Linked DNA regions of Danio rerio. The protein of the gene in region 1 interacts with the protein of each later gene in a pairwise test. Links are inferred from orthologs where the notes say so. Each region holds a gene or a part of one and is shown in the gene's direction. Other genes may lie near its edges.

What was found. The genes of interacting proteins can lie anywhere in the genome.
Region 2: the proteins of rab3il1 (region 1) and nudt18 interact in binary tests that used the Homo sapiens proteins (3 or more experiments, as listed by UniProt). The two-hybrid records come from large-scale screens. The link is inferred for Danio rerio from reciprocal best matches to the Homo sapiens genes RAB3IL1 and NUDT18.
Region 3: the proteins of rab3il1 (region 1) and rab11a interact in a two-hybrid assay, tested with the Homo sapiens proteins (2 studies listed by BioGRID and IntAct). The two-hybrid records come from large-scale screens. The link is inferred for Danio rerio from reciprocal best matches to the Homo sapiens genes RAB3IL1 and RAB11A.

Annotation. Positions count from the first base shown.
Region 1 is NC_133200.1:3,665,887-3,669,652, forward strand, and holds the start of rab3il1 (guanine nucleotide exchange factor for Rab-3A), read left to right. Parts: upstream 1-1,412; 5' UTR 1,413-1,537; intron 1,538-3,766. UniProt on the Homo sapiens protein: Guanine nucleotide exchange factor (GEF) which may activate RAB3A, a GTPase that regulates synaptic vesicle exocytosis. Promotes the exchange of GDP to GTP, converting inactive GDP-bound Rab proteins into their active GTP-bound form.
Region 2 is NC_133183.1:55,665,662-55,669,427, forward strand, and holds the start of nudt18 (8-oxo-dGDP phosphatase NUDT18), read left to right. Parts: upstream 1-1,111; 5' UTR 1,112-1,163; intron 1,164-3,512; 5' UTR 3,513-3,522; coding exon 3,523-3,675; intron 3,676-3,766. UniProt on the Homo sapiens protein: Mediates the hydrolysis of oxidized nucleoside diphosphate derivatives. Hydrolyzes 8-oxo-7,8-dihydroguanine (8-oxo-Gua)-containing deoxyribo- and ribonucleoside diphosphates to the monophosphates. Hydrolyzes 8-oxo-dGDP and 8-oxo-GDP with the same efficiencies.
Region 3 is NC_133193.1:20,516,559-20,520,324, forward strand, and holds the start of rab11a (ras-related protein Rab-11A), read left to right. Parts: upstream 1-906; 5' UTR 907-1,026; coding exon 1,027-1,066; intron 1,067-3,766. UniProt on the Homo sapiens protein: The small GTPases Rab are key regulators of intracellular membrane trafficking, from the formation of transport vesicles to their fusion with membranes.

The DNA of each region.
Region 1 (3,766 bases):
ATTAAATTACTTTATTAAATCATTATTTAATTAAATCATTATTAAATTACTTTATTAAATACTTAGATTAAATTATTAAATCATCATTAGATTATTTTATTAAATCATTATTTAATTAAATCGGTGAATAATTATTACATTTATTAAACACTTATTAGATTTGGTTATTAAATGATTTAAGATTTAACTATTAAATCATATTAATAACAATAAAATAAATAATTTTATTAAATCATTATTAAATTACTTTATTAAATTCTTATTAGATTAAATTATTAAATCATTATTAGATTATTTTATTCAATAATTATTTAATTAAATCATTATTAAATTATTTTATTAAATATTTATTAAATTAAATGATCAAATCATCATTAGATTATTTTATTAAATCATTATTTAATTATTTTATTCAATCATTATTAGATGTATCTCCATTTATTTTTCCAAATAATTGAATTACTTTTTAGACAACGCAATTACAAAAGTTATACAAATGTAATTTCAACGATGTAATTAGTGATGAATTTAAGTAACTAACCCGACACTTTCAGCCAATATATACGATTATAAATCAAATAAACGCATACATGTGAGCTCATTTACACAAAATCACACCGATCGCTAGTTAAATGAAAATGCTGGTAAAAGCAGAATGAAAACAGAAACATATTGCATGCAAATCCTCTCTACTCTGCAACAAAATGCAGTTTTTTTATAATATCAAAAACATTCTTAAATCAAGAACCATTTCTGCACAAGCAAGTCTTGATTAAGGAAATATTAAGCCGAATGAAGTTGAAACGAGCAAAATAATCTAGTTTTTCCTTTTGACACATGATATATTACCCCAATGGCAGATTATTTAGCTTGTTTTAAGTGAAAAACTCACTTAATTTTGCTACATTATTTCTTCAAACAACAAAATGCTTCCTGATTTGAGAATATTTAAATATTTGGACTAAAATCAAGACAAAAAAAATCGAAGTAGCTTTTAGTGCAGTGCATTGCTCATTTGCACACTGCATGCATAAGAAGTAAGCAGCAATACTCACAGCCTGTGATGCTTCATGAATTGCCAGCGTTTTTACCGGAACCGTTATGATTGTGAGATCCAGACGCCCACAACTCCGGTCACTTGACCTGATAATCTGTTTTTCCACTCACAAAAGAGGCATTGTGCAAAACTAGGGGGGGCTTATTAATCTGTGCAAATCTTCCACACACATTTATAGACGTTCATAGACTCGATTATTAATTGCGTGGTTATGTAATGAGAACATTATATCGATGATCTGATGTTTTAATTCATTATTGAACGTTTGTTGTATTTTGAGGCCCTCAGAAGGGAGTTTTCTGCAGTTTTTATCGCCCCCTAGTTGATGAAATGCTGATCTGCTGGTGGCCCCGTTGCATTTCTTTAACCCTCGAGTGTTGGAGCTGGGAATGTTTAGATGCTGGGAACATGCAAACGGCTTGTAAGGGTGTGTTTTATTTTTGCATCAAGAGTTTATGAGGAAAGAGCCGGGTCACTGGGGTAAGCCTGATTTTTGTTGTTGTTCTTTTTATATTTGCGTCTGGGTGTTTTATTTGACGTGAGAAGTGCTCTGACATTATATTGAAGCATTGTGCCTAAACACTGGCTTCCATACAATCAATTTGCATTGGGACAACATGAAGGAATTAAGTTACCTTATTAGTTTTAACAAATTTAAGTTAGTTAAAAATAAAACCTCAAGAATTGTGTTGATTCAGCTCATTTAAAAGAAAGTCATCCTGTATTTATTGAGTATATTTAGAAAACAACACTTACGCTTCACCTGCTTTGTGTTCTATTCATAAGCATTATTGTGAGTTCTATTTGTTATTATATGAGATTATTATTAGGATGTACTGTAATAAGTTATTTGTTCCCTACATTTATTTCAATAGTATATTTTCAGTACTATTTGGAAAAGGGCTGCTGTTGTTTGGTGTCATTGTTGAAATAGCATGGTTCATGAATATGATCACTTGCTGAATATACTTAATTGAAATATGATATATTTGAACTTTTGCTTAATATGTACACGTAATTATTGTAGATGTTTATGAAAAAGGATAAATGTTATAGGATATGTATTTGTCCACTTGTTTGTTAAAATGCTACGGATATGATATTGCATATATCATATATTTTATTATTATTTTATTTTATTATTTTAAATTTGTGCTTTAATATAATATAATATAATATAATATAATATAATATAATATAATATAATATAATATAATATAATATAATATAATATAATATAATATAATATAATAAATTATATTATATTAATCATATTATGTCAATTTAATATAATATAATATAATATAATATAATATAATATAATATAATATAATATAAAATAATTAATATAATAAATATAATATAATATAATATAATATAATATAATATTATATAATGTAATGTAATATAATATATTAAATTATGTTAAATTAATTCTATTATATTCTATTATATTAATTATATTATATTATATTAATTTAATTAAATATAATATAATATATAATAATAAATATAATATAATATAATATAATATAATATAATATAATATAATATAATATAAAATAATATAATATAATATAATAAATATAATATAATATAATATAATATAATATAATATAATATAATATAATATAATATAATATTATATAATGTAATGTAATATAATATACTAAATTATGTTAAATTAATTTTATTATATTATATTATGTTAATTATATCATATTATATTAATTTAATGTAATTTAATTTAATATAATATAATATAATTTAATAAATTTATTATAATATAATATAATTTAATAAATAAAATTAATATAATATAATATAATATAATATAATATAATATAATATAATATAATATAATATAATATAATAAATTATATTATATTAATCATATTATGTCAATTTAATATAATATAATATAATATAATATAATATAATATAATATAATATAATATAATATAATTAATATAATATAATATAATAAATATAATATAATATAATATAATATAATATAATATAATATAATATAATATTATATAATGTAATGTAATATAATATATTAAATTATGTTAAATTAATTCTATTATATTCTATTATATTAATTATATTATATTATATTATATTAATTTAATTAAATATAATATAATATAATATAATATAATATAATAAATATAATATAATATAATATAATATAATATAATATAATATAATATAATATAATATAATATAATATAATATAAAATAATATAATAAATATAATATAATATAATATAATATAATATAATATAATATAATATAATATAATATAATGTAATGAAATATAATATACTAAATTATGTTAAATTAATTTTATTATATTATATTATGTTAATTATATCATATTATATTAATTTAATGTAATTTAATTTAATATAATATAATATAATTTAATAAATTTATTATAATATAATATAATTTAATAAATAAAATTAATATAATATAATATAATATAATATAATATAATATAATATAATATAATAAATTATATTATATTAATCATATTATGTCAATTTAATATAATATAATATAATATAATATAATATAATATAATATAATATAATATAATATAATATAAAATAATTAATATAATATAATATAATAAATATAATATAATATAATATAATATTATATAATGTAATGTAATATAATATATTAAATTATGTTAAA
Region 2 (3,766 bases), on another chromosome or scaffold:
AAAGTAGTTCATGTTAACGTGTAAATGAGCTAAATGTGTTAATAAAGCTCTATTGAAACTAACTTAAACCCCAAATGTGACCCTGGTGCAAGTATCATTTTGGCAAAAGCCAAAAATGCATGTAGGTCAAAAGAATTGAATTTTCTCTTATGCCAAAATCATTGTATTGAGTAAGGACCATTAGGATATTTTCTAAATATTACATTGTAAACAAAATTTGCATCGCTAAACACTAGAAAACTTTAAAGGCGAGTTTCTCTATATTTTTTATTTTATTGTAAGCTTGGTAAGCTTAGTTGGTAATAGAAAGTGTAGTTATTCCGATTTAATTCATTCATTAATTTGATTTCAGCAGTCCTTTATTCACCAGGGGTTACCACAGCGGAATGAACCCTCAACCTATTCAGTATATGTTTTACACAGCATATGCCCTTCCAGCCACAACCCAGTACTGGTAAACACCCATACACTCTTACACATACACTATATATATCTATATATATATATATATATATATATATATATATATATATATATATATATATATATATATATATATATATATATATATATATATACTATACTATACGGTGCATGTCTTTGGACTGTGGGGGAAACCCGAGCACCCTAAGGAAACCCTCACTCAGGGAGAACATGCATCTCCAAACAGAAATGCCAACTGACCAAGTCGGGATATCATTAATGTGATGTATAAATCTTAATTACCAAAACCTGCCTTTAATAGTTTCTTGTTTTATAGTACAGGGTAACAAATATGGGACGTTTGTCATGAAAGTAGACGTAGTCGAGTGTAAAGATCGCTAGAGTTGTGTATTGGGACATGGCCATTGTAGCTTGTAGGTAAGGGATAGTCTAAAAATTGGCAGCTACATTTATCTAGTCCTCAAACGAAATTAAACTACAGCTTGTTCTCTTTGTAAAAGCTATTATTTAATTATAGGTAACTAACATTAATCTATTATTTGTCATCAAGGAAGCAAATACATTAAAAAACTAAAATAATAAAGCGAGACTGCAAAAAAAAAAAAAAAAAAAGGGAATTTGACATGACCCCTAGATGAGTGTTCTCGCGAAAGAGGTGTTATCGCGAGACAAGAAGGAGATGTTTTGAGTCTACATGCGTCTGTTTTATGACAACCTGGGTTAGTAAACATTGATGTTTTAATTTAATGTTGTTGTATTAAGTAGTTATTCGTAATAATGCTTTGTCATCTCAGACTATGTAACCTTACGTCATATTTATTTTGCTTTAGGTCATTTTGCGTACAAACACAATGTTACTTTAATGTCGTGTAATAATCAAATGTAGGGGGGGGCATTGTGCTGTACGTTACACTCATAAATAGATTAAATAATTAGATACGTCTTCTGTGGAACTTTGTCATGACATTGCCATGGTTTAATTGTAGTAAATATAATAACAATTATTTCTTGTTGCATAACCCACCATTTTTTTATTTAACTACCACAATGTTACTACAAATGTTGTGGTTAATCTATAGCATTGCATTGATTTGTTTTTACAAGGATTTAACTACAGACACACACACTCACCGGCCACTTTATTAGGTACACCTTACTAGTTGGCTACCAGGTTGGATGCCCTTGTGAACTGCTATAATCCTTCGTGGCATAGATTTATATTAGAAATATTCCTCCGAGATTTTGCTCCATATTGACATGATAGCATCATGCAGTTGCTGCAGATTTGTCAGCTGCACATCCATGATGTGAATCTCCTGTGCCACCACATCCCAAAGGTGCTCTAGTGGATTGAGATCTAATGACTGTGGAGGCCATTTGAGTACAGTGAACATATTGTCATGTTCAAGAGACCAGTCTGAGGTGATTCACGCTTTATGGCATGGTGCGTTATCCTGCCATAAGTATAGTATAGAACTCCATGCCTTCATGTTGTTGAAGCAAAATTCTGACCCTACCATCAGAATAACGCAGCAGAAATCAAGACTCATCAGACCAGGCAACATTTTTCCAATCTTCTATTGTCCCATTTTGGTGAGCCTGTGCGAATTGTAGCCTCAGTTTCCTGTTCTCAGCTGACTGGAGTGGCACCTGGTGTGGTCTTCTGCTGCTGTAGCCCATTCGCCTCAAGGTTGGACGTGTTGTGCGTTCAGAGATGCTTTTCTGCATACCTCTGTTGTAACGAGTGGTTATTTGAGTTACTTTTCAAAACTGAGCTGGTCGGGTTTGGCGATCCTATCCCTCTGCATTTATCAGGTTTTGGTGAGCTTTCCACTTATCAAAAACCTGTTGTTAGAAACCTAGGATTTCAATTCGACAATGATCTGAAATTTAACAAGCAATTAAATACAATTGTTAAATCCAGTTTTTTCCATTTACGACTTGTGGCAAAAGTAAAGTCGTTTCTTTTAATTTTTAATGACCTTGAGGAGGTGATCCATGCTTTTATTTTGGGAAGACTTGACTATTGCAATTCCCTGTATGTGGGTATTAGTCAAAATGCCCTAAATAGATTGCAATTAGTACAAAATGCGGCTGCGAGACTTCTGACAGGGACTCGCAAGTTTGCACACATATCCCCAGTTCTTTCCTTTCTGGGCTGGCTGCCTGTTAGGTCACGGATTGATCTGGCACCATCTTACTTATTAGACCTGCTACATGTATACAATCCTGGTAGGTAACTGAGGTCTTCTGATGAATTTATTCTATCTATACCAAGGTCCCGGTGTAAGCGGAGTGGGGATCGGGCTTTTGCTGTTGTCGCCCCAAAACTCTGGAACGGGCTTCCTTCCCACATCAGACATGCTCCAACTCTACCTGTTTTTAAAAAGCATTTGAAACGCCATCTTTGTTCTCTAGTATTTGAGCCTTTTTAATGTTGAGGGGTTTGCCTTATGTTTTAATTGCTATGTGTGTGATGTAGATTTTATTTTTAGTATTGATTGTGTTCAGCACTTTGGGCAACGTTGTGTTGTACAAAATGTGCTATATAAATAAATAAACTAAATAAATAAATAAACTAAACTGTTGCCTTTCTATCAGCTGGAACAAGTCTGGCCATTCTCCTCTGACTGCTGATGTAAACAAGGCATTTGCGTCCCAGAACTGCCGCTCACTGGACTTTTTCTCTTTTTCGGACCATTCTTTGTAAACTCTAGAGATGGTTGTGTGTGAAAATCCCAGTAAATCAGCAGTTTCTGAAATACTCAGACCAGCCCGTCTGGCATAAACAACCATGCCACATTCAAAGTCACTTAAATCAGCTTTCTTCCTCATTCTGATGCTCGGTTTGAGCTGCAGCAGATCGTCTTGACCATGTCTACATGCCTAAGTGCAGTGAGTTGCTGCCATGTGATCGGCTGATTAGAAATTTGCATTAACCAGCAGTTTTGACAGGTGTACTTAATAAAGTGGCCGGCTAGTGTATTTTTACTGTAATAAAACTGACTCTTCTTGGCAGCCTCTTTATTTGACGATGATATTAATTCCATTCTGTTGTCAAATTAAAGCAGCTCCGCCATGGACTCGCAGTCATCGATTCTGGAGGAGAACTTGGAGAAGATTTTGAGGGGTGAGGGTCTCGAGTTTGATTCAGTCGCTGAACAAGTGGACCCAGTCACACTGAGGAAGAACGTGTGTTATATTGTCGGCGCAGTCATTTTCAATTCAAAGGTAAAGATGGTGTTGTTGTTCTTGCATGTGAGTGTTGTCTATTTACTGGAACAAGACTGTTTGGTAGCAAGGAATGAAACTGAAGGCAGCA
Region 3 (3,766 bases), on another chromosome or scaffold:
ACTTTTTCACGTGGAATGAATTTATTACAAAATAGATACAAGTGAAAAAAATAAATAAATAAAATACGGCAAATAAGCAAATAAGCAAATAAGCGTGTTACAATGTAACTTAAATGAAACCAAATATTTTTCTCTCTTTATAGTATAAATTATGGAGTCAGATCAGTCTAAAAATACATTTACAAAATAGGATTCATACATGCATAGCACAATTCACATTTACAAAATCCAATTTGGATTTACACACAATTTGTGATTTTACAAGTAAACATCCTAATATTTTCGCCAAATGAATTGGATTTGTGTATATATGAATCGTGTTTTGAACTTAGGAATCGATTTGTGTATTTATGAATTGTGTGTTGAACTTACAAATTGGATTTGTGCAATTATTAATCATGTTTTGAACTTACTAACTGGATTTGTGTATTTATGAATCATGTTTTGAACTTACGAGCTGGATTTGTGCATTTATGAATCATGTTTTGAATTTAATAATTGAATTTGTGCATTTATAAATTGTGTTTTGAATTTGTGAATTTGATTTCTATTTATGAACTGTGTTTTTAATTTTATGAATTGGATTTATGTATTTACGAATTGTGTTTAGAACATACAAATTGGATTTTGTAAATGTGTATTGTTTTGTGAATATATGAATCATATTTTGTAAATGTATTATTTTTGAGACTGATCTGGCTCCATAATAAATTGGCTCAATTGAGACGGTGGTTCCTTACAAAAACATATGTCTTATACTTCATTATATAAAATGCCCTTGGTGAACAGAAATAATACACAATGAATAAAAATAATAAATAATCCTGCTTTTATTTTGACAGTCTGTAAGGGCCCTCACCCGGAACACTTGAGGAGATGTTCTCTGGTTCGCCTGCTCGCTAAGCCGTTAGCATGGCTACTGCCTAATCACAGACAGACTGCAGTGCCGCAGCGGAGAGGACAGCGACGGGTCGCCTCCACTTTCCTTCACATTCTTCCATTGTTTGCGCTTTTGTTTTGATCGAGATGGGGACACGAGACGACGAATACGACTACTTGTTTAAAGGTAAGTACGTAATACTTTTGTCGCGACTGTACAAGTTAAAGCGTCTCCGATCATCGTGGTTATTGTTAGTTAGTGTGGTTTTATATTAAACAGTAAAGGCCAGCTAACCGGCTAGCTCACTTCGAGCAGCCCAAACAAACTCCTGCTCTTCGGCTGGAGTAGCGTATTTGAGTCTGTATCGTTATATGTATAATATTATTTAGTTACTGTGCATTGGGTTAATATAGATGTTGGTTAGCATAAAAAACACAGTTTTCCAGAGATCCGACCACACCTTGAAGCGGCTAGCTGAAGTTAGCTGACACTGTCGCTGGATGAGTTTAACGGAGCAGGCGGAAATGGGAAACGGCCTGTATTCCCGAATGTTTTTTCAAGCCTGTGTGTCTTTGTTGTTTTTTTGGCCATAATATATTTTGATATACTTAAACCACCGTTCGCTGTCATTATATCTTAGTTCATATACTAAAACTGAACTGTGACCGACGCTGTCATGACGTTTAACATCTCCTTTTGTATTCCACCGAGATAAAAAACATCATATGACATTGAAGCAACTTGAACAACGAAGGAATTTCTTCAATTTGGATGAACTGTTCTTTTAAATAGATAATTATTTGTGTCAGTTTGTTGTCTTGGAAGTAAATACTAGATGTCAGGTGATGCGGCCTGTTTTTCTCGAATATGTTGCTCATCGTTTTTCTTTCATTAAGCAAATGTGGAGTTTCTATCATTTGGAATAAGCTCTTGAAACAATAAGTTTAGTCATATTTGCAGCACAGTTGACTCATTACGTATGTTTTCACTTCTGTGAGACACATGTAGTCATTTAAGAAGTTCTGTGCTGTCACGTGAATCGTAGTGATAGTAAACTAGCTACCTCTACCTGTCTTCACGTAAGCCCAGAACCACTCGGAAATCTCCACCAGTTTCTGTCATAACAAAATGTCAAAAAATGTCACCAAAAATGGTAATCTCACCCACATTGTGAAATAAATAAATATATATATATATTTTTTGCCATTTATTTAAATGTACTTCTCTCAAATGATGTTGTGTGGTGTGTTGTGACATAGAGCTCTGAGTGTGAAGAGGTTTGTTCCTTTATTTAATGTAGACAGAAGTGTTTGTGTAAAGAGTCATTTAACTTAAAAATTAAAATGTGGCAATCGTTTACTCACCCTCATGTCATTCAAACCAACATTTCCATTCATCTTTGAATTGAAAATAAATTTGACAGATCCCTTCACTGAAAGTCCATCTAATAAAAACTGACAATTTATGAAATTCATAAGTAGATCTGGCACGATAACCGTTTTCAAGGTAAACTGTGGTTCAGAAAAGGTTTTGAAACTGCCAAAATATTCTGCTATACCATTTAAGATATATTATATAAGATTTTTTTAAAACATTTTTTTTTTCGAAGATGCTCTTTTGATTCGTAAAGAAATCTGTGTTTTTGAAACTAACGAGTAAAGCAGAAGTCTGTCCGTGCCAATAGCCTAGTGGTGAAGTGTGCTGACATTGCACCATGGTGCTCATGTCGACCCGAGTTCAATTCCTGGCTCAAGGTCCTTTGCTGACCCTTCCCCTCTGCTCCCAATACTTTCCTGTCTGCAAACTTTACTGTCCTTTCAAATAAAAGTGAAAAAACCCTAAAAAATAACTATAAAAAAGGAATACAGCAGAAGTCAATGGCTGCCTCCGAAATCGCCTACTACTCAGTAGATACTGCATTTGAATTTAAATGTACTACTAAATCTGCTGTTTAAAAAGTATATTCTGTACAGTATGAATGGAACTCGGATGTACTACATACTCCATTTTGTCATGATTACGTGACCTACCTGTATAAGTTGCGTCGCTTCACTCTCATTCAAAAATTCTCCCACAGGGCATTATGAGATAGCACAGTGTGTATCGAATGCACAATTCTCGCATATACTGTTTTTTGAATTCTATGAATTTGGACACACTGGTCCGGTCTCATACTGTTTTAGCGTAATTTATGATATAGAAGTATAGACACATTTCGGACACAGCCAATGATCCATTTGAATTTAGCCTGACATGTTTACAGTTCCAAAATATTTTAAATATTTCTTAAAATAAAATGATGTATTGTGTTCAGAGGGGGAAAAGTTTTTGTTTTTTACCCAGACATTTAAAAAGAATATATTTTAGAGCAGTGATCACTATACTGTGAAACCGTGATGTTTTATCCAAGATTATCATACCACCAGAATCTTACACCAGCCCATGCCTGTTCATTAGCACTCTAAATTTATCAGGCTCTTAAATCCAGTGCTTTTGAAGAGAAGTTATTGTTTTATATGATGAACCCATTTTGATTGGTTGTCATATTTTAATACTGACGGACATGCATATTTAGAGTCAATCAAATATGGTAAACAAACTGTCAACATTTTGATAAAATTCTCATGTTTTACGTAGAAAGTTTTAAGTTGAATTTTGAAGCATATCAGAAGTCTTGTATGCTGAAAAATGACTATGTAAAATGTAGTTTCTTTTTTGAGTTTTTGCGCTCCAAAATTTGTTAAACAATGAATTGTATGTGTGGAATTAAGTAAAATTAGATTTTTTTTTATGCTCGCTTTTCTTGAAAACATGTAAATAGTTGATTTCCTATCACAGTTTCTCTATTGTTTGAGTGTGAATGTCATTTTGAGTAGAAAATGAACT